Linked DNA regions of Ovis aries. The protein of the gene in region 1 interacts with the protein of each later gene in a pairwise test. Links are inferred from orthologs where the notes say so. Each region holds a gene or a part of one and is shown on either strand. Other genes may lie near its edges.

Region 1 (4,918 bases):
GTCAATTTACGATTACTGAGAGCCAGTAAAAGATACAGTTTAGGTGGCAACATTATTTTTGAGAAATAAAGCTTCAGAGTTCTTTATGGGGAAATATTAAAACATTGCTTTTAATGGCATCTTACTATCTTCTTTACTAGGCGTATGAAAACTTTCAATTGAGTCTAAGGCAAAAGGAACCTTCTGCTTTTCTCCCAGGGAATCTTAAAATCACTACAGCAGAATTTTTTACCCTCCTGGAAGGGAAAATCTGCTTGTACATTCTTTCCAACCCTCTCTTCCCCCCTCTGTTGTACCCATAGTCATGTCGGTGTGGAGTCTCACTTTGAGAAAGTCGAAGGGGTTCTGCTGCTCCATCCGTCCCTGGATGCTCACCAACATCTCCTTGGCTAGGAGACACTGTTCCTGAATGTGGCTCAGATTCAGCTCCATCTCCTCATTCAAGGCTTTCCCCTCTTCTCGGAGCTCACTTAAAAGGTCCTTTTCTTTGCTGTGCAGGAACTGATGCAGCTTTAGAAACTCCAGGGAGATGTGTTGCTGCAGATGTAGCTTGTTTTCCTGGAAACCTCCATGATCATCACCATGGTAATTACTGAGACTAGCATTTAGGGATGGGGGCCCACACCACCAGCACTCCCACAACTTGGGAAATACCATAACAGGAAAACGCATGCAAACACTGCATATCAACATCCAACTGTACTAAAAGGAGGCCTTTGGGAAACTTACTCTGTCTTTCCCAGCTAGTTTAATAGTTAGGGTTGGAATAGTCAAAAGTCATGTCTAGGTTCCTGTTGCAAAACTGAGGTGGTAACCAATGCCATCTTAAATAAGACTGTGGGGTTAATCGAACACTTTTAAATGAACAATAATACCCTTTTATCCACAAGTACAAACCAGTATCTACCAAGGGATGCTGTTAGACTGGGTCCAGAGGAGGCTGGAAGAACTGCCCTTTTTCAAGAAATCAGAACGGAGGAGGCACCATTCCTGCTGCCAGGACAATACAAAAGAAGCCAGAGATGGGTGGTGTCTGCAGCACTTGAAATCGGTAACCGTTACACTGGCAGCTCTTTCCCTAGGTGACTTCAGCTTCCTCATGGGCAAGCCATCTGGCATCCTGGCTTCTCAGTTCCTCATCATCATTTCTAGTGATTTTTACCTATATCTACTCATTCTTTTAGTCACATTGAGGGTTTTATCTTCCTCGGCAATTGTACCATCCCCAGAATTACTTTTTATGTTTGCTTACCCAGGTTCCACTGTTGCAGCAGTTATTGGATTTCATAGAATCCTCCTATTCATTGACCCTCCGTTTCTGTTCTTCAGCTTCTCTGTCTTCATGTCCCCTCTTATCCAGCTTATAGTCTGTGGTCAAGCACTGTAATTGTACTCTTTAAAATAGTCTTAACTCTCACTGTCCTCTAGGTCAGACATTTCCATTTTTCCTGTTACCTATTTCACCGCTATTTCTCAGTCTCATTTGTTAGTTGTGTCTCTAACCAAGCTTTGAATATTAAATTACTTGATACTCTGTCCTAGGCTCTTTCCCTTTCTCATTCTACACTCTCGTTCTCGGTAATAGCCTCTGCTCTCACAACTTTGAAGTGCAGTCTGTACGCTGACCTCTTATTTTCAGCCTAGACCAGCTTCTCAACTCCAGGTCCATACATCCGGTTGTCCATTTGATATCACCACTCGCCTCTCACATCTAATCGGTCACCACATGCAGGCAGTTTTTCTTTCCAAAGCATATGTTAAAGCCGTTTATTTCTTTCGGTCTCTACTGCCATTTTAGTCCAAGCCATCATCGTTCTCTGGGACCACCTCAGTAGTCTTCTTCTAACCGTTATCCTTCTTATTGCCTTTCTCCAGTCCACACTCCACACAGCCACCAGACTGATGCTTTCAAAATGAGATGAGACCGTCCTGTTTAAACCCTTTAATGACTTCTCAATTATGCACAGAATAAAATTCAAAATTCATGACATTATCTACAAGGGCCTACATGATTGGGCCTTATCTGCCTTTTTGGTCTCAACTCGCCTACCAAGATCCATCTTAATTGGCCTTCTTTCTGTTTAACATAGTAACTAGCTTCCTGTCTCAAGAACTTTTCTATAACGCTCTTTCCTCTTCATAGAACATTCTACAGGCCATTTCCTTCATATTCCCCTCACCCAGTTCACTTGGCTAAAGATAATACTTATCCTTTCAATTCTCAATTTTTAATAAGAATTTTTAATTTCAATTTTTAATAAGTGACCTCTTCAGTCTAGATTAGGCTCTCCATTTATATACTCTAATATACTGTATATAATCATTTATAGTAATTATCACAGTGATGTTTCATTATTGGTGGGATTATTTAATTAACATCTGTCTCCCACCATAGTTGGAATACAATATCTAGCATAATGCTGCACCACTCAAATATTTGTTGAATGAATGAGTGTTGACTGTAATAGCTGAACTAAGAACTCTTACAACAGGAACACGATTCTCTTGAGACATCTTTATTTCCATCTAGCCTTCTTCTTTCCCTCATTATATTTGTTTCTTCTTCCAGATGCCAAATGCCAGAGAAGACTCTCCTCTGTAGGATAATTAATGAAGAAACAGAACTCCCAAATTATTCCCCCAGCCTAGGAACTGATTTGCCAAGTCCCTAACCATTAATGTTGCCCTAGAGCTCCTGTGAAGTTGAAAGTATAAGCAGTAGTTTTATTTAGTTTGGGAGAAGCTAAGAAGGATTAGATCACAGAGAAAAGCCAGCAGTCTAAGAGACCTTGGTTCAGAGAGGCCTGGTTTTAAGCCCAAAGGAAAGAAAGTTATTTCTTTGAACATCACAATCTTTAGTGGATTTTTTAAAAATGAATTCCTTATTTTACGATAGATAATAGGAAAGATCAGACAGATCACAGCCCCAGAGCAATCACCTAGGGACTGCACCATGAAAAGGATCAGCTTATCTAGGGGAAAGGTCAGTCTGCTCTCTCTGTTGATCAGCTATTGGGAACCTACTCCACTGCCGTATTTCTTTCCACTCTACAGTGTCTGTTTTCTACTTCTAAGGCCAGATGCCATTTAGCATGTTGTTGTATATGTAAAGGTACCTTTCCACCCACATAGCTGAAGTTACAAGGAGGGTACAAGTCCAGTTCTGTCTCATGACCCCTCTACCCTGCTCCTCACCTTGTGAGCAGCGATAGCATCCTTCTGCATATTCTTCAGGGACAGAAGCTCCTTCCGGGCTGCCTCCAGTTGACCCTGATGGATGGTAAGCTCCTCCTGGGGATACCATAAAGAATTAACCCATGCTAATTGGGAGATGAAGGGCCATGAAGAACATCTACCCCAAAGCCCCAGGGTGTCAGGGGGAAAGAAAGCAAGCTCCCACTACAAAAGTTTCCTTTTCCCTTATATGATAATTCCTGTCTCTTCCAAAAATTGTGAAGAAAATTACAAACTGCAGAAAAACTAAGTTTTATCTTCTTCTTAGCTAACTACAGGGCTTTGAGGAAGATAACAGAACTCTGTACACTTTCTACTATATTTACACTGTTCTTGCTATCTCTACTTTTACTTACATTGTTCTCAGAACACTCGTTTCTTCCTTCTACCCATCCAAATTCAAATAATTGCCCCCCCTTCAAGCTTTCTTTCACCATGCCTCCCCTGACTATTTCAGTTTTCTCTAATCTCTGAAACAAATGTGACAAAAATTTAGCTCTCAACAGTAGACTGTCTTATATCCCTTCTGTTGTTTTGTTCACTTTAAACTTGACTGCATTTCAAGACTTCAGTAACAAAAGCATTATTTTACATGTCCATGTTCTGTACAGTGCCTAGTAGAATGCTGTCAAGGCAAGGTTCAGGTAAATGTTTGATTGATTGAGGAAGTAGGCCAGAGCTCCTTTACTGCTTCCCTATAATTGACAACTACAGAGAAAGAACTTTGCAAGATACGTTGTATTTTTTGAGCACTCTGAGCTTTCTAATAATCACTTGAATGAGGGGTGGTATTGAAAGAAGAAGTCCAACAGTTTTTCCCAGCCTTCCTAAGGAATTGCTCAAGACTGTTCAAGACCCAGGGCTCACCCACCGTGAAGAAACGGACAGCATCAGAGATCTGCAGGAATTCTTTAGACTGCCCTACAGACAATCGAGCATCTTTGCATTGAAAGCATATTAGTCTCCCATCTGGCTTACTGAACAGTTTCAGGTTCTCTCCATGCTCTGGGCACCGTGGATGGCCCTTGAGCAGGGGTAGCTTCTTAATCTTCTCTACCAGCTTCTCCAGTACAAGATTAAAAGTACAGTTGCTGTATTGACATAACATCTTACACTCAGGACAGAATGTTTCATTTGCTTGCTGCTTCCAAAACTTTTGGATACAAGATTGGCAGAAGTTGTGGCCACAGCTTAGCATTAGTGGATCACAAAACCAGTCATTACACAATGGGCAGTGTAATTCCGTAGTAATATCTTGTATCTGCACTTTGGAGGATATTTGGGTGATCACATCATTCACTTCAGCGTAGCTGTCTGAGTCAGTTTTGGAGGAGAGGTTGGAAGATACCTTTGAAAAAGAACAGCTAAAATGAGTTTCTCTTTCTTGTTGCCCACTTCAGGGTAGTGGGCTCTGTTCCTAAAGGAGCTGAGAACTGGTGCAGCCAGAGGAAAAGCACTATCGTCTCTTCTCTGAAAGTGATCAGTAAACTCAGTGTTCTCTAACATCAGAGCTCATTCTACTCCCAGCATTATTAGACTTAATAGAGAACCAAGGCAGAAGACGAAAGAGCACCCAATCAAAAAATGTATTTCATTGTATATCACTTCTTCCACTCCCTTTCTCCTTATATCAGTCGAAAGTTTTACTTTAAACATCTGTTCTATTAGTTATTACCTTTCATTT
Region 2 (5,037 bases), on another chromosome or scaffold:
TGCCCCTGTTCTCTCTTCGCTGTTAGCAAAGCCATCTCATGTTTCCTTGTCTGCTGCTGCTGCTGCTAAGTCACTTCAGTCGTGTCTGACTCTGTGCGACCCCATAGACAGCAGCTCACCAGGCTCCCCCGTCCCTGGGATTCTCCAGGCAAGCAATGGTAGCCTTCTCCTCTCCAATTATACCTGCATCGGAGCCTCAGTACTGGCAGGGTATCCTCTCTTAGACTGTGTCCACCCACCCAGTGGTTAAGAGCAGGGACTTGAGTGCCAGAGGAGATGGAGTTTAAACATTAGCCCTGCTTATCACCTGTGTGCCCGTGTGACCTCAGTAAGTATCTCTTATGTAGACAAGAAAAATCCCAACAAGAGACTGTGAAGTCTACACTTGGGGAAAATTTGCTCGTGGTTGCTGAGGCAGGTGCTACATGTTCACTTTATTCCTCCTTGTAAAGAATAGAGAATGAGAAGTGAATCAACAGGCAGAGAAGCAGAACGGGGCCGCACAGCTCTGGTATCTGGTCCCAACCATCAGGCGCAGGTCCCTGGTCCCAGGTCCCTGGTTCCCCACCAGCCACATTGATCCCTCTGTATCCCTTCAACCCTTGGGTCTTCAAAGCCAGTGGGTTTTTCTCAATGCACACACTACTTCTGATCTCTCAGGAAACGTTTAACTCTGTGGGCCATCTCCTGCCTGCTCTGTTCTGGATCATTCTTTGGAAAAGCCTGGAAAAGCCTTCTTTGTAGACCTGGGACTCTGGAGCCAGCCCCCGCTGGGTCCTGGCTCCACCACTAGCTGCTTGGACAGATGATTTAGATGATCTGAGCTCAGCTTCCTTATCTGTAATCTAGGGATGATAATAGTGCCTGCTCCCTGTATTGTTATGAGTCACCCTATGTAAAAATGACCTTGGATATAGAAAATACCTGGAAGGGCTTGTTACTAACCTGGCCCTTCTTCCCTACACCTTTTCTTCCAAGTCCATTCCTCCCAGGCAGTTCCTCTCATCTGAATGTGCTCCTCACCAGGTTCTCTCCTCAGCCTTCTCTTTAGCAATACCCTCTAGTGAATTCATTTTTTCCTCAACTTCCAAGCATCACCTTAAGCTAGTGACTCTCCAATCAGTGTCTGTGGCCTAGATCTCTCACCTAGAAACCTGCCTATCTTTCTGCTTCAATGTCCCACTGTTCCTTCAAGCCCAACACACCCTGCATTACACTCAACAGCTTCCCCTTTAAACCGGGTCCCCTCCCCTCACCTGCTTATGACAGTGTTGTTCTGATTCTTCCAGCCTCTAAATCATTGCCCTCCTCTTCCTCTCCCAGCAGCTAACTTATTGCCAGAGCCCATTGTTCTTCCTTGACTGTCCCTTGGATCCACCTCTTCTCTTGCATCACGCTATCCCCACCACCCTGCCCATTGTTACCGGAGCAGATCCTTACCCAGCTTCAAAGTGGATCTCCCCTCATTCAGGAAAGTGCTTCTCAGCTGGCATAGTTGGCATCCAGGGAGGAGAGTGAGAGATAGCCCTGCTAGGAGGCTGCCTGGGCTTGGACCCTGTGTGGTATACTCAGTGTACATGGTATAGCCAGTGCTACATGGCTTCCAGCATGGATTGCCAGCTTTGTACCCCACTCCCGAATCCTAAGGTTAGGACAACTCAAAACACACACACACACTTATACACATATGCACACATATACTTCCAGGTGGCCTCTTTTGAAGGGAGGGTGGAGCTTTATTTATTTATTTATTTATTTTTTTTGAGAGGGGACTGCAAAATCACTGCAGATAATGACTGCAGCCATGAAATTAAAAGATGTCTGCTCCTTGGAAGAAAAGTTATGACCAATCTAGACAGCGTATTAAAAAGCAGAGACATTACTCTGCCAACAAAGGTCCATCTAGTCAAAGCTTTGGTTTTTACAGTAGTCATGTATTGATGTGAGAGTTGATTATAAAGAAAGCTGTACACCAAAGAATTGATTGTTTTGAACTGTGGTGTTGGAGAAGACTCTTGAGTGTCCCTTGGACAGCAAGGAGAGCCAACCAGTCCATCCTAAAGGAAATCAGTCCTGAATATTCACTGGAAGGACTGATGTTGAAGCTGAAATTCCAATACCTTGGCTACCTGATGTGAAGAACTGACTCATTTGAAAAGACCCTGATGCTGGGAAAGATTGAAGGTGGGAGGAGAAGGGGACAACAGATGATGAGATGGTTGGATGGCATCACCAACTCAAGGGACATGAGTGTGAGTAAACTCCTGGAGTAGGTGATGAACAGGGAGGCCTGACATGCTGCAGTCCATGGGGTCGCAAAGAATCGGACACGACTGAGCAATTGAACTGAGCTGGTGCCATTACTACCCCAGCTGAGAGTCACTGAGCCTCTTCCAAGTCAAATCCAGCCCACAGAACCTCCTCAGACCCACCCCAAACACAGATCACTCAGAGCTCCCCAAAACCTCTCCCTGCCTGCCTGCCTCCTTCATCATCTTGTCTTCCTTGGGTCAACCATGCCCCCGCCCATCCTCAACATCCAACTTCATTTTCGCCCCTTCCCTGGTCAGCATAGTCCTTCCGTCTTCTCAGCATCTTTCCTAGCAGTTCTGTATTCAGGCTCCTTCTGTTCCCCTTAACCTTCTCACCCTTACTATTCATATTCTAGTAATCCACCTGGCCTGGTTCAGCCCTTCTGTAATGCCTTGCCAAGATCCTGAGCCTTCTCCAAACACCTTATCATCAGTTCCACCTGTCTCTTTTTTACTCTCTTTCAGTTGTCCATTCATTGCCTTGTCTACTGAATCAGACACTCAGCTTTGAGGACCACAGCCACTCTTGTCTGTAACCCACAGGGCTGCTATAATGAGTAGTAGTGAGCACTTACACAGCTGCCCTTTTTTTTATTTCAAATTTTTGATCAAAACCTGACTGCTTATCTCATGGCCACACCAGCCTGTGATGTGCCCCCTGCAGAAAGATTTTAGCAGCCAGTCAGGACAGGAGCTGGGGAAAGCCAGCCCTTCAACAGTGTTTTTTACTGATGATCCAGCTTTTTACTTGGTCACAGCAAACGACAAGCTGACACCCAAGAGAAATGATGTCTCCGTCACACACTAATTTGTTTGCACAATAGAAGTTGATGATAAAACTGACCTGCCTGCACTTATTTCTCTCCATAAGCCCCACCAGCCACTTGCCCTCATCGTAAAAATACAGAAGATGGGAACCAAGTGGCAGAGCCAGTGTCTTTACCTGCTTCCTCCTGGTGGACATCGGTGCTGTCTTTCAAGTCTTTATCTACCCAGGGATGAGCCTCAGCCCTAGGCTCCCCCTTCTTTCTGTCACTGCTCCCATCAGCATTTTTAAAGATCCACACCATCAAAATGCAGACGATGGCTACCAAGACTGGAGTCAGAAGAAGCATGGTGGTGAGACTGATCCTGAAGGGTGTCCATACTTCCCAGGCTGGGGTTTAAACAAACAGGGACAGGTGTGGGGAACGCTGGGAGATGAGTGAAGAGAGGGAGGGGTTTGCTTGAGGAAGGGACAGTGAACCTGCTGACTCCACGAGGACTTTGCCAAGGAGCAAAGATCGCAGCTGTGTGCATCAGGGTGTGTTGTGGGTCTGGCAATGCATGGGTGAGTGCACTTTTGTAAACTCTGTGCTCAATCAATGTATTCTTAGACAATCATTGCCAGGATTTGAGGATATACTTTAAAGCACTAGACCTTGCCAGCCATGGTGGAAGGTATTTCATCTTTCTCCTGTAGATTTTCTCTGAGAGCAATGTGTCTTCGACTGGCCTGATGCCAGGAGTCACTTAGTGTTGGCCCCTTTGAACCAACCTCCATTTCCGTTTTGAGCGGTTCCCAAATCTGGGATGTTTTCCTGTGGTTTTAGAGACTGGGCAAAGGATTGGCTATCTCAGGCCTCTCGTGCACATTTTGCCATATATATATATATATATATATATATATATATATAATTTGAATTCTTTTCAACCAGCATGTACTATTTTTTACTATTTCTACTTTTTTATTGTGATAAGATATAATAATATAAAATGTACTATCCTAGCTCTTTTTAAGGCTCTAGTTCAATGACAGTAAGTACATTCACAGTGTTGTAAACCCACCACCACTCTTCCAAAAACTGCTTAATCATCCCAATCAGGAACCCTCTAACCGTGAAGCAGTAATTCCCCACTTTCTCTTCCCACAGGCCCTGGTTACCTCAAACCCACTTCCTACGTTATGATTCTGACTGTCCTAGGAACCTTCTGTAAGTGGACTCATACAGTATTTGTCTTCTTGTGAATGGCTTGTTTCACTTAGCCGAAAGCCTTCAAGATTCATCCATGTTTTAATACGGATCAGAACGTCATTCTTTTTCATGGTTCAATTGCTCAGTCGTGTCCAGCTCTTTGCAACCCCATGAATCGCTAGCAGGTACTATATATTTTTATGGGGGCTTCTGCAATGGCTCAGCAGGTAATAAATCTGCTTGCAATGCAGCAGATGCAGGTTTGATCCCTGGATTGGGAAGATCCTCTGGAGAAGGGAATGGTAATCCACGCCATCATCCTTGCCTGAAAAATCCCATGGACAGTGGAGCCTGGAGGGCTACAGTCTATGGAGTCGCAAAGAGTCAGATACAACTGAGCACTCGGCACAGCACATGTATTTTTATACTTAAAAAATAGACACTAAATAAATGTTACATTTACAAAAAGACCATTACAATACAGTGCAATAAGTGCTATAATAGACAAGTATGCCTGGTCCCTTATTCCATCTGAGACAGGACAAGACCCCACGGAGGACATAGCTTCTACTGTCTCAACAAACTCAGTGTGACCTGGGACAGTGCAATTGAGGGAGCCTGCACCAGAATCTAATCTACACACTCTCCCTTCCTTGAGAAACTCTGCTACAAAAAAAAAAGTCAGCTGACCTAGACAGTGTGTAGTGTAGTGACATGGTTACTTTGCCTGAATTTCCATTCTACTGTGTGCTCATGTCTCATTTCATGAC
Region 3 (5,201 bases), on another chromosome or scaffold:
ACATATGGTAAAAAGAGTTAACTGTTTGGTAGCTTGAAACTTTACATTCAATTAAACTGTACATTACTATACACTAAGGCTGGCAAAAAATGAAATAAATACAATTATGATACACAATACTTAGAACACACATCATGTACATAAGGCTCATTTGACATTTATCTGATAAAAGTGTAAAAAGTTAGTTTTACCTCCTAAATACTCAGATTCCCACCCTCTAAACTAACACCAGAATTAAATAACTTGAAGTTACCCAGGCAGAGCTATCTATCAGTGCCCAATTTCTGGTAAATGAACACATTTCTGTCTGTTTCACATTGGCCTAATTACTCACTCTATTGCATTAAAGTTCTAACTTTTTAACTAAGCTTTAAAACCAGGATGAAACAAATTCATGGTTAGGATCATAGGGTTCAATCTGAAAAGCTCTAAAACGATATACCACAATAACTACAAGGCACTGAGAGAATCAGATTATAAATCCAGTCAACTTTTCCAAGGCCTGTGATGTTTAAATTCCAGTCTTTTGAAAATAATAATAAAGAGAGAGGGTAAGTGCTGGGCAAGAATAAATCCCCACATCCACATTTCGTTCATTTTCTGAGCAGGCAATGTATCCAAATTCAAAGCTGTAAAGTCAATTTGTCAGCATCTACTAATCCCATCGCACCTGGCGGGAGAGGAAGGCGGGAAGGAAAAAACTCGTCCCGCGTCCTTCACGGAGCAATGCCCCAACACACCTGCCTAGCTTATTCTGTCAGGGGCAGGGGAATTTAAAAAGAACAAATCAGCCAGACAAACCTGATGATCCAGAGAGCTCAGAGGAAGTCCCCCAGCACTTGCGCAAGGCTCCGGCTCGCTGGGCGCTGGCGCGACGCGGCAGCCCGGCGGCTCTCCTGGAAGGTGCCCACACCTGAGCGCCCGCAGCTCCGCGGGGGGAGGGCCCGGCGGGGCAGGACCGCTAAGTGGTCCAGCCGCGCGGTCCGGAGCGCAGCCCGCGCCTCACCGTCGCCACCCGACGGCAGGCGGCGCGCGAAGAGGCGAGGGGCACCAGAGAGCGAAAGGGAAGGACCTGCGACTAACAGGAGGTTACATGTCAACAAAATAGCGGCCCGGCGGGCAGGCGGCCCCACTGGCAGTTCGCGGAGACGCCGGGAGCAGGAAGTGCCCCGCGCGCCCCTCAGGAGCCCGCACGTCCCCAGACCCGGCAGCGACTCCGAGACACCTGTTTGGCGGCGCCAGGGGTGGGGTTCCACCCTCCACGCTCCCCCCACATTCCCTCTCCCAGAGGGAAGGGCGAGGGGACCCGAGACCTTGGACCCACAGCCTGAGGGCGCCTCCGCCGGCCGTACCTGACATCAGCCTCGGCTCCCTCTCGCCCCTCCAGGGGGGCGGAGAGGGCGACGACACGAGACCGGCGACCTTCGCTCTGCTCGGCAGCCGCAGAAGTGGCTCGTGGCTGCTGGCCGGGGCCGCCCGCTGCCGCCCAGATTATTCCCCGGCAGCGGCGGCGGCGGCGGCCGAGGCGGGCCCAGCGCGCGCTCCCGCCCGCTCGCTCCGCCCCTCCCCGCAGCGCGTTCCGGCCGCGGGCCGCCGACGGCGCAGCCGCCACCCAGGGGTCTCCTAGCGCTGACGTCATCGCCGCCGCACCAGCCCCAGGGAAGGGCGGAGCGAGAGGGGGCAGGGTGGGGCGGGGCTACGGCGACGTGCGGGCGCGGGGATTGGCGGCCGAGCGCACGCCCCGCCCTTGTGCGAAGGGGTCTGGGAAGTCGGATCTTCTATGAGGGGTAGTCACAGCCCGCTTGCGGCACCTCGGTGGCGGCCTCCACCTTCCTCGCGTTGCTGAAGGGTCTTGCACTAGCTTCCGGACCTTGAGAGGGCCCAAAGCAGTGAAACATCAGGGACCAGGGCTGCAAATACCCTTGGGACCTTTGTCCAAGAGACAGGCTCTTCCCTTTCAGGAGTCTTATGGCCTCTAGCCTGCTTTTAAACTGTTCTTTTTACCCCTGTTATCCCCTCCTCCCGACTCTCAACTCAGTACCTCTCTGGCCTTAAGGAGAGGAAACACGCAAGATGAGGTACGCAAACGAGTGTTGGATAACCAGGTATGTGAATGAGCAGGGGCTGAGAACCCAATTAATGCTACCACAAAGCCTCCTGAAGGCACACATGGTCTTTGGTTCTGTGATAACTTCTCCACTGCCAGGCAGTGGCCCGAAGTTTCTTCGGAGCTCTCCAAAACCTCACCGTCTCACCTTTAGTTGGCAAAGTTGTATCAGAAAACTGTTTTGGGATTAGAGAGCGAGGAGCCCTCGAGCGATTGAGGCAGTCCCACAGCAGTCAGGAGGTGGGATCAAGTCTGACTTTACTGGTGGTATCTAACAAAGCCTAGTTTGAGGGTGAGAAAACTACCCTGCTTCCTAGGCAGTTCTTAAGTGCCTTGGCCTCTGGGCTGGAATCTTGATTCCCGCCACCTATTAGCTGTGTAACCTTGGCAAGTTGGTTACCACGCTGGAGAGGAATAATAAACAATGTAACTAAAGTATTGTTGTTGTTTCCTTTTATGTGTCTAGATTCAGCTTTAGTGTAGTTTACCAGGATATATCATTAATAAATCCGAAAGAATCTTTGGGAAGAACTTTAAAACATCTAGATTCTTATCCAAACCTGTCATTTTTTCAGATGAGAAAACTGAGGTCAGAAAGATAAACTGAGAAGCCTGTTTTGGAAGAGAAGTGCAAGTATGTGATATCCAGGTTAGTGCTCTGTTGGATCCTCACCTCCATCTGTTCTCTCTCCCCCAACCTGTATATAATTATTGATCAGCCTCACCCTCTTTGTCTTCCACAGCCACTGTGAGACAGGGAAAAGAGACCCTTCGAGGTCAAAGTGTACCAAATAGAAAGCAAAATAAAACAAAATGCTTCAGGATTCTTATTTTAATTTTATTAAAATTTATAAGGAATAAGAAATAATCTTTTTCCAGTGAGCAAATACAGGAAACCCTTCCAAGGGTAAGCTCAGCTACAGCATGTCTAAGATAATTTTCTTAGTGGCATAGAGGTATGTTGATAGAACTACCACGTCAAATCAGGCCCCTCCTACCCTTCTAGGTATTATTGGAAATAGCTATTATTTTCATGAAAGCAATGTACACTTATTGAAACAAATATAAAAAATTTCCAAATGTCATAATTCAGAGAGAACAATTTTTTAAAATTCATGTTATGTTCCAGACGTCTCTAAGAATAAAAACATATAAAGGTATAGAAATACAATGTATGATAAACTGGATTTTATCATGTACACAGTTCTTTTTTCATGAACAATATATCGTGAATAACATCATTTTTAAAAGTTGCCTAGTGTGAAGTGGACGTACCATTGTTTATCTAACCGGTATTCTATTGGCTCATTTCTGTTTTTTTCCCCAAATGCTTACTGTTTTAAACAACTCTGTGATGAGTTTCTTAATGCATGTACCGTTGCACAACTGTACCGCTGTCTTCTTGAATAAATTCCTTGAAGTGACATTAATGTCAGCCAATTTTTCTTCATTATTAACTAGAAAAAAAGAAAGCTGTGGTTACTTTGAAAAATATGATTTATATGTGAGATGCAAAATGACCAGATTTTCCCATTTGAAACACAGATTAACCTTGAACAGTGTGTTTGTCTCTCTGGAGTGTGTTTCAGGAATGTGTGTCCAAGCGCCTTGGAGCAAAGTGATAGACACTGATAGCTGATTAAACCAAAATCCCTTCTCTATTACTTGGAGAACTCTTGACTTTTTTTCGGGGCGACTGTGTCCAGTTAAAAATACTTGTTTACTCAGGCTCCTATAAGCCATGGTTTCCCATGTGACCTATCAATAGAATGAAAGTAGATGTTACTCATAGAGGCTCAAAGTTTTATGGAAGAAACTTTCTGTTAGCCATTGGACCTATACCTGTCCTTTATCTTACCTGGAACAGTGATATGATGCTAGATGTGGAGCAGCCCTGTTTCAACCACAGTAACAAAATAGTAGCATAGCCAAAGGGACTGGCTTGTGATTGCTTTGAAGGGTCAGCTTATCAGCCCTGGTCTGCTCACTTCTGGGTTTATTGTTATATAAAGGGGTTTGTTGTTATATGAAGGAAAATAAATCCATTTTCTTTAAGGTTTTTGTTGTTTTTTGTTATAAGCACTGAATAAAATTCCTAATTGGCATAAAAAGATAGGAAAAATCATGATTTATTTAGTGCTCTAGGTAGAATTTTTTAATAAACAGGGTAAGATGAAAATGGGAACAAAAAATGGAAACAAGCAACAGCAAAAAACGACTCTCTAATAAACTTAGTTTTCCTTTAAATATCCAAATATTACAATTAGATTAACAACTCTTTAGTAATAATTAGGTTAAATTCTATAAATTATATTTATATAATAATGTATAGATTAAATGGACTTCCTTGGTGGCTCAGACGGTAAAAGCATCTGCCTACAATGTGGGAGACCTGGATTCGATCCCTAGGTCGGGAAGATCCTCTGGAGAAGGAAATGGCACCCCACTCCTGTACTTTTGCCTGGAAAGTCCCATGGACGGAGGATCGTGGTAGGCTACAGTCCATGGGGTCGCGGAGAGTTGGACATGATTGAGCAACTAAACTTCTAAAACTATAAATTATTTAGAATTTAATATAAATTGAATTTATAAATTAAATTAAAACTACTGGTATAGTAGTTTTAAAATATGTTCACAAGTTCTTTGATACTTCTTTCAAAAATTGAGCTTAATTCCCCTCACCTAGAATTTGGACTGAACTTAGTGACTTGTTCTCATAAAGAGAATGTAGAAACGTTGTGATGTGACTTCTAAGTGGAGACTATATATGTGCCAGCTTTCTGCTTGCTCTCTCTGGGATTGCTCACTGGGGAAAGGTAATTGTCATGTCGTAAGGACACTCAGCAACTTAGAGAGAGGCCCATGTTGTGAATAACTAAGGCCAACAGTCAGTGAGGAACTGAGAGCTCCTGAAAACAGCCACGTGAGTGAATTTGGGAGCAGATCCTTCAGCCTAGCCAAGCCTTCAGATAACTGCATCCCTTGTCAGTATCTTTGTTGTACCTGAAGAGAGTCCATGAGCCAGAATCACTCAGTTTAGCCACTCCCAAATTCAAGTCTGCAGGAACTGTAAAATAATAAATCTTTGTTGTTA
Region 4 (5,049 bases), on another chromosome or scaffold:
GGAAGAAATATCAGAAGCCTTGAGGCGCCAAGAGGTTTGGTTGTTTGCTCTGTTTCCCCTGCTGACTCCAAGGTTACACATTAAGCCCTCTGGGGCTCCTTGGTCAACCCAGGCCTGATCGGTTTCTAGGTGAGAGCATGGAGTGTCCCGGCTGAGCGGTTTTCCCCCTTGCGCTCCCCTTTGCTCTCAGGGCAGCTTTGTCCGCCAGCCACACCGGCCTGAGCCAGACGGGGATTTCGGGGTGGGGGGGAGGGGGCTGCGTCATGAGGGGCCCTTCTAGTGGTCATCCCGCGTGGATAAGTTTGGGCACCCTTTCAAGGAGCAGAGTAGGAGCTGAAGATAAACACCCCTTTTCTCACATTCCTCGCCTACTCAGAAATAGGGACGCTGTCCCTTAGCTCATCACCATCCTTCCTGCTTCCTTAACTGAGCTTTTATGGAGCTATGGAGCTCGTGAAGAGCTGGAGGCGCCATGGAGAGACCTGAAATTGAACACACTTCTGATCAAGACCTTAAACAATTGTACTAACCAGCCCCCTACCTCTGGGCAGAACCCTTGAACTCCTATCAGCCGAACGACTATCTTTCTCCCTCTCCCCGATTCTTTCAGGTAGCAGTCCACTTCCCTCCCATCTTCTCCCAAGGAGGTCCTCTCTAGTTGAGTGTTGAAGTCAGATTACTCTGCTGCAGCGGCAAGTGTTGTATGTGTGCTCTGGGAAATTGAGAGTGTTGACGAACGCAGAGCTCACCAGTCGGGACAGTCCGGAAACCGTCTTGCGTCCTCCCTAGGTGAATCAACTTATACAGCTCAGGGTTTCCCGGGGCCCTCCCTTGGCAAACACGAAACTAGCCTTGCACCCTGCCCACAGACCGAGAGCGCTGACTCGGTTCAGTTTTGGTAGTTGATCGTTTGCGTGCTAATGAGAATCTGCCCTGTACTTCGAAAACAGAGTGATTAGTGGGCAAAGCGGAGAAGGCAATGGTACCCCACTCCAGTACTCTTGCCTGGAAAATCACATGGACGGAGGAGCCTTGTAGGCTGCAGTCCATGGGGTCGCTGAGTTGGACATGGCTGAGCGACTTCACTTTCACTTTTCACTTTCAGGCATCGGAGAAGGAAATGGCAACCCACTCCAATGTTCTTGCCTGGAGAATCCCAGGGACGGGGGAGCCTGGTGGGCTGCCGTCTATGGGGTCGCACAGAGTCGGACAAGACTGAAGCGACTTAGCAGCAGCAGCAGCAGTGGGCAAAGACTGGGGCAGAAAGAGATCCGTCCTTTCTTCCCACCCTCTCTTGGCCTGCGCGGGGAAACCCTCCGGTCTAAGGAAGAACTGCAAGGGCAGGATGCGGCCACGTGTGTAGGCAGCGGCTGGTACAGTGCTGACCTTTGCGGGGCGTGCCAAGAAATGGCATATCGCCCTATTCTTTGGACCCTAGAAGGCCAACTGCGGATCCGGACTGCAGGAAGTGCCCAAATGAGCAGAGACAAATAACAGGCTGAACCAACACCTAGCTCCACTAGCTCCGCCCCGTAATTATCTTGAATGGCAGTGGGCGTGGTTCTAGAGAGGGCGGGTCCGCGCACGCGCTGCCTTTGGGTTTGGGGGTTCCGGAATTGTGACTCTGAGAAATGAGATGGAGAAGTACGAGCGGATCCGAGTGGTGGGCAGAGGTGCCTTCGGGTGAGCCAGGGCTCTGGGGGAGGAAAGTGCTTGGGGAGAGGGAAAATCAGCCCCCTAATTCTGACCTCAAAATCGCAGCCCGTGTAGCCCCGCCCCGAGGCGTGAGTGCCCACTCCGGGAAGCCCCTCCCGGCTTCCGGTTCTAGTCCTGGTTGGGAAACTCCGCCTCCAAGGAGGTCACGCCCCCGGCCGGCCTTCGCGGCCCCCGCAGAGTTTGTTCTTTTATCCTGACTCATTCATTCAACAAATGCTGAGCGGCTGCTATACTCGTCAGGCTTTTGGTGCTGGGTATATAGTAAAGACCCAAACAGGCGTGGTCTTGTCCCTCTTGGAGCTTACATGCTACCGGAAAAATATCCTATAAACAGAACATTGTTAAAGCAGTGATTAACAAACTGTGAGAATAGAGCACAACACGAGGGAGTGTTCATTTGGGATGGTTAAGGAAAAGTTCTCTGAGAGGTGAAATTGAAAATCAAAACTTGAGGAATGAGGATCGATACGTAGTGAAAAAAGCAAAGCTTCTCAGGCGAAGGAAACAGCTTTTGCTAACGTCCTCACGTGGGAAAGAATTCAGAGTATTCAAGGAACTGAGAAGACTAATGTCATTGGAATGTAATGGGCAAGGTAAATAATGGAATAAAATGTGATTGTCACAGAGGGCGGGAACCAGATTATGGCCTTGTGTGTGTGCGCATGCATGCTAAGTCACTTTAGTTGTGTTCCACCCTGGCGACCCCATGGACTGTGGCCCTCCAGGCTCCTCTGTTCATGGATTCTCCAGGCAAGAATACTGGAGTAGGTTGCCATGCCTTCCTTCAGGGGATCTTCCAGACCCAGGGATCCAACCCCCGAAGCTAACTCCTGCATCTCCTGAGTTGCAGGCAGATTCTTTACTGCTGAGCCACCTGGGAAGTCCCTATGGCCTTGTAGGCAGAAGTAAAGAAGTTGAATTTATTTACTTAGGGTGTCAAGGAAAAGAGATTTAAGCAAAGGAATGGTCTTGATTTGATTTGCATTTTTACAATGTCACTGACTCTGCTAGTGGAATTTAGATTTGAGGTGACAACAGTGAAAAGGACCATTTGAAGTCTAGTGTAGTATTTTAGGCAAGAAATGATGATTTGGTCAAGGATTATAGCAGAAGACAGAGAAAAATGGATGAGTTCACAATATTTTGGAGGTAGTAGAAACAGCATTTACAGATATGTTACTGTGAAATGGAAGAAAAATTCTGGCATGATTTTCGGGTGTCTGACTTTAATAACTAGTGGATGGTGTTACCATTTATTGAGACAGGAGGAACTGAGGAAGGAAAGGTTTTGAGGTCAGGGATCAAGAGTTTTGTATTTGTTACATTTTAGAATGCTTGTGGGCCATTCAGGTAGAGATACAAAACAGATAGTTGAATATGTAAGTCTGAGGCTCAGAGATGTCTGAGCTGGGGATAGACATTTGATACTTAGACAATCCTTGATTCAGCAGATACTTGTAGAGCTCTTACTAAGTGCTGGGGTGTGCACTAGGCTATGCACTGGGGCTATAGTGGTGAAGGAGAAAGAACAAAACCCTGCTTTTATGAACACTGACTACAGAGTTGGGAGAAAATAATATAATGAATGGCTCCTGCTCACTGAGTATTTTTGATGTGCCAGGCGGTGTGCTAAGTGCAGAACTTGCATTTTCTTACTTGACCCTCTCAACTACCTTGTGAGATCGACCCTATTTTTTCCAGAACCTGATGTCACATAATTTAAGACCAGATAACTTGTAAGAGGAGGAGCCAAGATTTGAACCCAGGCAGTTAACTCCAGAGTCTGTGGGGACTTACTGAGACCAAGACTAACTTTACCTCATTGAGACTATGGTGAAACCGAGTCCCAGATAAGTTAAAAGACTTGCCAAAGGTCTCGCACAGTTTGTGGTCTGTTCTCCCTACTCCTCACTCGTGTTCTGTGCACTTACTTAGATGACTTCTTAGTGTAGGTGCTGATTCCCCCATCCTAAGAAACATCCCGTCGCCAGCCTGACCTGCTTGATATGTGGCTGGAGACTCAGTCCCTACTCCTGTACTCCGTGTCCTCAGGATTGTTCATCTGTGCTTGCGCAAAGCTGACCAGAAGCTGGTGATCATCAAGCAGATCCCCGTGGAGCAGATGACCAAGGAGGAGCGGCAGGCAGCCCAGAACGAATGCCAGGTGCTCAAGCTGCTCAACCATCCCAACGTCATTGAGTACTACGAGAACTTCCTGGAGGACAAGGCCCTCATGATCGCCATGGAGTACGCACCAGGTGGGACAGCCTTCTTGCATTGGCCTGAGGGCCTCTCGCCACTGGGACAACCCCGCTTCCCTCTCTGGAGTGGGCGTGGCTGAGGGTCCAAGGTATATAGAGTTCTGACCCCAGGGGTGTGACACCGGCAGACCTTCTTTGCCCTGTCTGAGCCTTTAGTTTCATAAAAGGAAAGACTCAAGCACAGAGAAGCCTAGGTCTTGATGAGTTCCCTGTGGCTGCAGGCGGCACCCTGGCCGAGTTCATCCAGAAGCGCTGTAACTCTCTGCTGGAGGAGGAGACCATCCTGCACTTCTTTGTGCAGATCCTGCTGGCACTGCATCACGTCCACAGCCACCTCATCCTGCACCGGGACCTTAAAACCCAAAACATCCTTCTCGATAAACACCGCATGGTCGTCAAGATCGGCGACTTTGGCATCTCCAAGATCCTTAGCAGCAAGAGCAAGGCCTACACGGTGCCTGGTGCAGAGGGACCCTCAAGGGTGCTGGGGGTTTTGGGGGGCCAGATCTACTTGGCATCTCTGTCTCCATCCCTGCATCCCCAAGATCTTGGCCCCTGGGTCCCTGGCTGGGTGGTCCCGCAGGAGGAAACACTTTGGCCTGCTTTGGAGGGACGCTGTCTCTAAGTGGTCTTTGGGGCTGGATCCTTGGTCCTCCCACCCCAGCTGTAATAGCAGCCCCCTCCTGCAGGTGGTGGGTACTCCCTGCTACATTTCCCCTGAACTGTGTGAGGGCAAGCCCTACAACCAGAAGAGTGACATCTGGGCCCTGGGCTGTGTCCTCTATGAGCTGGCCAGCCTCAAGAGGGCCTTCGAGGCTGCGGTGAGTAAGTCCCCTGAAGGGGAACAGCTGGGAAATCCCTCCCTCTGTCTCCTGAAGTCCGTGGCCCCAAGCACCATTATGTCTCTCTCTCCAGGCTGGTAGACTACCCCAGGCTTGGGCTGTACCTCCCCTCACACTGTGGGTTCCTGAGGGTAGGGCGTGTGTCCTCCCTTAAACTGGAGACTCCTGGGGGTAGGACTCTCCCATCAGATTAGGGAATCTCCTAAGGGCAGGACTTGAGTTTTCCCCAA
Region 5 (4,913 bases), on another chromosome or scaffold:
ATACTCAAAATGTGGGGTACGGTGTATACACATAGTGGAATGTCATTTAGCCTTAAAAAGGAAGGAAATTCTGACACATGCTATACAACACAGATGAATCTTGAAGTCATCATGCTAAGTGAAATAAGCCAGTCACAAAAGAACAAATACTGCCTGATTCCACTTATATGAGGTTCCTCAAGTAGTTGGATTCATAGAGGCAGAAAGAAGAACAGTGACTGCCGGGGTGGGAGAGTGAAGAGAGCAAGGAGTTACTATTCACTGGGTATGGAGTTTCCATTAGCAATGGTTGCACAACACTGTAATGAACGTAATGCGACTAGACTGTACACTTAAAAATGATTAAAATGGTAAACTGCATTTTATTAATACATACATTAAAAAAAAAAAAGAATAAGAAGGTTTAGTCTGAAGCCAGACACCTGGGATTCCAATCCAGCTCTAGGTGCAAGATATTAAACATCTCTTGTGCTCAGTTTCCCTTCATAAGGAGGAAATAACAGCAGTAACTACCTTACGTCATAGAATTGACAGAATTGAAGGAGTTCACACTTGTAAATTACTTAGCACACAGTAAGGGATCAAGAGGTGTCAGTGATTTCTATTCTTTGCTGAGGGGGCAGGAGGTGTGGTTTCTGATGTTTATCATTTTTATGACATTGTGCACTTCCACCTCACCCCTCCCTTCCACCTGCTTCTCCTTTTCCTTAGCAGAAGTCCAGCCCAGACTTCGGTGGAGACAGAGAGGCCCTCTCCTGCCCCAGAGGGAGCCAGGAAGGCTCCAGGCAGCAGAAGACTCCAGGACAGCTGCCAGGGCCAGAGACACCCAGCTGGGCATCCTCCAGGCCCACGCCAGGCCCCACACTATTTCTGGAGTTTTCCCAGATGTTCGTGCCCTGGCCTGCCTGCAGTCAGCCTTGCCCAGGGCAACCTTGCACAAACCTCAGGAAGAGAAAGGTAAACAGGCCACAGAAGCGGTGTGGGTGCAGCTGCCTAAGGCAGCAATCTCCCGTTTGGCCCACCAACTGCACACCTCCACCAACTCAGTCCTCTGGGCCTCAGGTCTGCACCTGAGCTTGCCAAATGAGGACAAAGGGACTCGCAGTGCAGACTAAGAGAGATACTGCGCGCAAAGCCTTAGGGAAGGGCCTGGCACACAGGATGCGGAAGGTGGAGTTGGGACAGACCCACAACCAAGCCCACTTCCTGTCCCGGACTGCCCTCTGCCTGGGCCGAAGCGCACCATCATGGCTTCTTTTCTCGGCGCAGAGATGTCAAGAACCTTGTCCAAAGTCACAAGAAAGTTAATGACAGATCATAGACAGGGCAGTGGTCTCATGATTAGATAAACAATCTATAATACACACATATTTTTTCAACCAGGTGATACATGTGCATGGCTTAAGATTCATAAGCTGTAAAGGAAATTAAAAAAAGAAAAACACCTCCCTCCACTCCTATCCCCAGCCACCCAGTTCCCCTCCCTGCAAGAATCATTATGATCAGATGGTTATATGTCCTTCCAGGGAGATTTCAGGCACATACAAGCAACAATGGACATATATTCTATTTTTTTTACACATAGCAACATGTTCTGTGCATTGTTTTCATTTATTCTTTCATTGAATAATATATGTTCTTAATATGTTATTAGCATGTTATTAATTATAATGTTATTAACAAAATAATATATGTTGTACTACATAAAGAGCCCATCAGTCCCTACCAATGGCCACTGAGCGTGTGTCTAGTCTCTATTAAAAACCACACTGTGGGACTTCCCTGGTGGGCCAGTGGTTAAGAATCTGCCTGCCAATGCAGGGGACATGGCTTCTACCCCTGGTAGAAGATCCCACGTGCCATGGAGCAACTAGGCCACAACAAAAGAAGCCTCCAAGTTCTAGAGCCCATGATCCACAGCAAGAAAAGCCACCACAATGATAAGCCTGCAACTAGAGAAAGCCCAGGCAGCAACGAACACCCAGCCCAGCCAAAAATAAACAAATAAATAAAAGAGTTCTCAGGCAGAGCCTTAAAAAACCCAAAAACCCCACACTGTGGGCTCACTGCACCTATATCATTCTGCCCAGAAGTGGGACAGCTAGGTCAGGGGGTGCATGTGTAATTGTGACAGAGATGAGGGACTGTGATCCAGGGAGTTGATCTCCCACCAGCAGAACACACAAAAATGATCAATAAATGTTAGCATTAGTCATTTTGATTCCTAGGGCTTTGGGCACCCCTCAGTTTCACACTGGAGGCGATTACCTCATTTACCTCACCCTAACCCTTCCCTGCAACACATTCCAGTCCGGGAAGATAATAAACTCGCTAATAAGTGAAATTATAGGACATTGGATGGGGTAAATGCTACTGAGAAAAACAAAATAGACAAGGCAGAGCATATGAAGTGAGTAAATATTTGTTGAAAGAATGAAGACTTGTTTTCTTTCTGAATTTCCAGAGCTCTGCTCCCTTTAAAGCCAGGAGACTGGTTTGGAGGAGAGAGGATAAATAATTCCCCTTGAAGAGATTCTAGACTCCCAGATGCTACAATTCTGAGTGTCTAGGATTCTAAGATGGAAGCCAGACAGATTGGGAACCAGCCCCAGAGTTGCCAAGTCTGACCATGTGGTTTTGGGCAAAGGGGCTTAACTTTTTAGAACCTCAGTTTGCCCACCTACGAAAGGAAACCCATAGCAACCAGCAGGTGGGGAGGGGGTTCCCCAGGAGGTAAGGCCTGGTGTAGGTCAGATGCTCTACCAGGAGCGGTCCTGGGCCCAGGACCAAGTCCAGTGTCTCTGGTGACTAGCGTCTTTGGCTGAGGGCTGTGCCTACCCTTTTGCCCAACCCGCAGTAGATTCCCAAGAGTCCTACAGCAATTCCAGGGCCAAAGCATCTGCTCCCCACCTGGCACCTAGCTCAGAAATGTCAGTCCTGCCTGAGCCACCCGTATCTTCTCTCTGAGAGGGAGAGCTCTGTAATTCAGAGCCCTGCAAGCTGAAGGATCTCAAGTGAGCCCCAAGTCCACCCCTGGCTTTCTGGAGAAATGAAGACAGATGGTGGGGAGAAGACCCCAGGCCGACGCTGGGGAGAGGCAGCCTGGAGCGGATGCAGCCAGGGCTCTCATGCTCCTGTTGATCAGAGGCTAAGAAAGCGACCACCAGTTACCTGTCAGGGTCTCTCAAGGCAAATCTAGAACTATTATGCTAGAGACTGCGAGATGGAGCAGAAAGATCTGAATCAGATTCTCTGCCAGACTTCGTCTTTCTGAGCCTCAGCGTTCTCATCTGTGAAATGGGGTACCCTCGTAGGACTCGGAGAGAACACGCACCGCAGGGGTGAATACAGCGCCCCCTTACACCCGGGTTCGCGCCCCGGACCACCCGTGCCCTCACAAGGAGCCTCGCCTAGGCGAGTCCCGCTCCTCCAGTGTGGGTCTTGAGGAGGCTGACAGCTCGGACCCAGTCAGGCGGGGAATGGCCGCACCCAACACGGCTCGGGAGGCCCAAGCCCCACGTGAGGACCCGCGGGGGCCTCTTCGGAGCTGTGCTCCGCACCCGAGATAAGCCGGAGAACCTGACTGTCCCAAGGTCCCAGACAGAGCGAAGGTCTGGGGGCACAGAGGGGAAGCGAAAACCCCGGGGCACCGGGGGAAGGGGAAATGAGCGCGTCGCTTCACCCCCCTCCCCGACACCAGAATGGTTTGCCCCGGACATCCTGATTGGTTTCTCGCTTCCGTTCGAACTCCGCGCCGCCCGCATTGCCAGGCAACGGCTTAGCTTCGGCCTGGCGTGGGAGCGCCCTGCCTTCTCAGTCCCTCCCCGCCCTTCAGCTTCCCGGTGGTCTCAGGTTCTTTGAGCAGCCCCTTTAGCTCAAGCGGCTAATTCTTTCTCTTGTTCACCCGGGACTTAGCTGATGGACGGAGGACCCTGGTGGGCCCAAGGGGTCGCTAAGAGTCGGACACGACTGAGCGACTTCACTTTCACTTTTCACTTTCATGCATTGGAGAAGGAAATGGCAACCCACTCCAGCGTTCTTGCCTGGAGAATCCCAGGGACGGGGGAGCCTGATGGGCCGCCGTCTCTGGGGTCGCACAGAGTCGGACACGACTGAAGCGACTTAGCAGCAGCAGCAGCAGTCCTGACTTCAGCTGACAGGCTATGTGAACCAGTGCAAGCCAGTTTTCCTGTCTGTTCCTCTAACTGCTCAATGCTGAGCAAGTTAGTGTGAAGATGGGCATGCCCAGCAGTCCCGAAATTTACTAAGGATGTGAGCGAAGATTAATATGCCCTGCGTTCTTTATCATGGCAAAATAATGAAAATAACTTAAGTGCTCAGTGAAAGGAAATTGGTTATATAAATCCATCCTGCGGAAGAACTGAATTTATTGAGGTTTTTATATATACCAGAAGCTTTGCATGACAAAACTCTCATCACTGCTCATGGCATAACCCTCTGATAAGTACCTTTAAATATCCTCACTTTTTGCTGAGGAATATTATACAGTCATTAAAAATGATATGATTAAAATATATTTAGCACTAAGAAAGATTGAATTTTTCAAAAGTATGTTTCAAAGCACTATGTACAACACAAATATGCATTAAATACATAATGGTAATATCACATGTACTATATTTACGTAATGGACTTCCCAGGTGGCCCTAGTGGTAAAAAAATCTGCCTGCCAATGCAGGAGACACAGGTTTGATCCCTGGGTCAGGAAGGTCTCCTGGAGAAGGAGAAAGAATACTCTAGTATTCTTGCCTGGAAAATTCCATGGGCAGAGGAGCCTGGAGGGCTATAGTTCATGGTACTGCAAAGAGTCAGACAGGACTGAGCACAATGCACATATTTCAGTTCAGTTCAGTTCAGTTGCTCAGTTGTGCCTGACTCTTTGCGACCCCATG

What was found.
Region 2: the proteins of E3 ubiquitin-protein ligase TRIM69 (region 1) and IYD interact in binary tests that used the Homo sapiens proteins (3 or more experiments, as listed by UniProt). The two-hybrid records come from large-scale screens. The link is inferred for Ovis aries from reciprocal best matches to the Homo sapiens genes TRIM69 and IYD.
Region 3: the proteins of E3 ubiquitin-protein ligase TRIM69 (region 1) and ASNS interact in binary tests that used the Homo sapiens proteins (3 or more experiments, as listed by UniProt). The two-hybrid records come from large-scale screens. The link is inferred for Ovis aries from reciprocal best matches to the Homo sapiens genes TRIM69 and ASNS.
Region 4: the proteins of E3 ubiquitin-protein ligase TRIM69 (region 1) and NEK8 interact in binary tests that used the Homo sapiens proteins (3 or more experiments, as listed by UniProt). The two-hybrid records come from large-scale screens. The link is inferred for Ovis aries from reciprocal best matches to the Homo sapiens genes TRIM69 and NEK8.
Region 5: the proteins of E3 ubiquitin-protein ligase TRIM69 (region 1) and FAM110A interact in binary tests that used the Homo sapiens proteins (3 or more experiments, as listed by UniProt). The two-hybrid records come from large-scale screens. The link is inferred for Ovis aries from reciprocal best matches to the Homo sapiens genes TRIM69 and FAM110A.

The regions. Positions count from the first base shown.
Region 1 is NC_056060.1:101,155,699-101,160,616, reverse strand, and holds the start of E3 ubiquitin-protein ligase TRIM69, read right to left. Parts: upstream 3,169-4,918; 5' UTR 694-3,168; coding exon 325-693; intron 1-324. Other genes in the region: E3 ubiquitin-protein ligase TRIM69-like, read right to left, coding at 3,169-3,320, 4,102-4,628.
Region 2 is NC_056061.1:75,315,652-75,320,688, reverse strand, and holds the start of IYD (iodotyrosine deiodinase 1), read right to left. Parts: upstream 3,453-5,037; 5' UTR 3,428-3,452; coding exon 3,256-3,427; intron 1-3,255. UniProt on the Homo sapiens protein: Catalyzes the dehalogenation of halotyrosines such as 3-bromo-L-tyrosine, 3-chloro-L-tyrosine, 3-iodo-L-tyrosine and 3,5-diiodo-L-tyrosine.
Region 3 is NC_056057.1:16,016,908-16,022,108, reverse strand, and holds the start of ASNS (asparagine synthetase [glutamine-hydrolyzing]), read left to right. Parts: upstream 1-1,749; 5' UTR 1,750-2,105; intron 2,106-2,682; 5' UTR 2,683-2,756; intron 2,757-5,201. Other genes in the region: C1GALT1 (glycoprotein-N-acetylgalactosamine 3-beta-galactosyltransferase 1), read right to left, coding at 1,353-1,359.
Region 4 is NC_056064.1:20,098,335-20,103,383, forward strand, and holds the start of NEK8 (serine/threonine-protein kinase Nek8), read left to right. Parts: upstream 1-1,597; 5' UTR 1,598-1,636; coding exon 1,637-1,683; exon of another isoform or gene 1,684-2,309; intron 2,310-3,768; coding exon 3,769-3,974; intron 3,975-4,198; coding exon 4,199-4,431; intron 4,432-4,666; coding exon 4,667-4,798; intron 4,799-5,049. UniProt on the Homo sapiens protein: Required for renal tubular integrity. May regulate local cytoskeletal structure in kidney tubule epithelial cells. May regulate ciliary biogenesis through targeting of proteins to the cilia.
Region 5 is NC_056066.1:59,932,873-59,937,785, forward strand, and holds the start of FAM110A (protein FAM110A), read right to left. Parts: upstream 3,453-4,913; 5' UTR 1-3,452.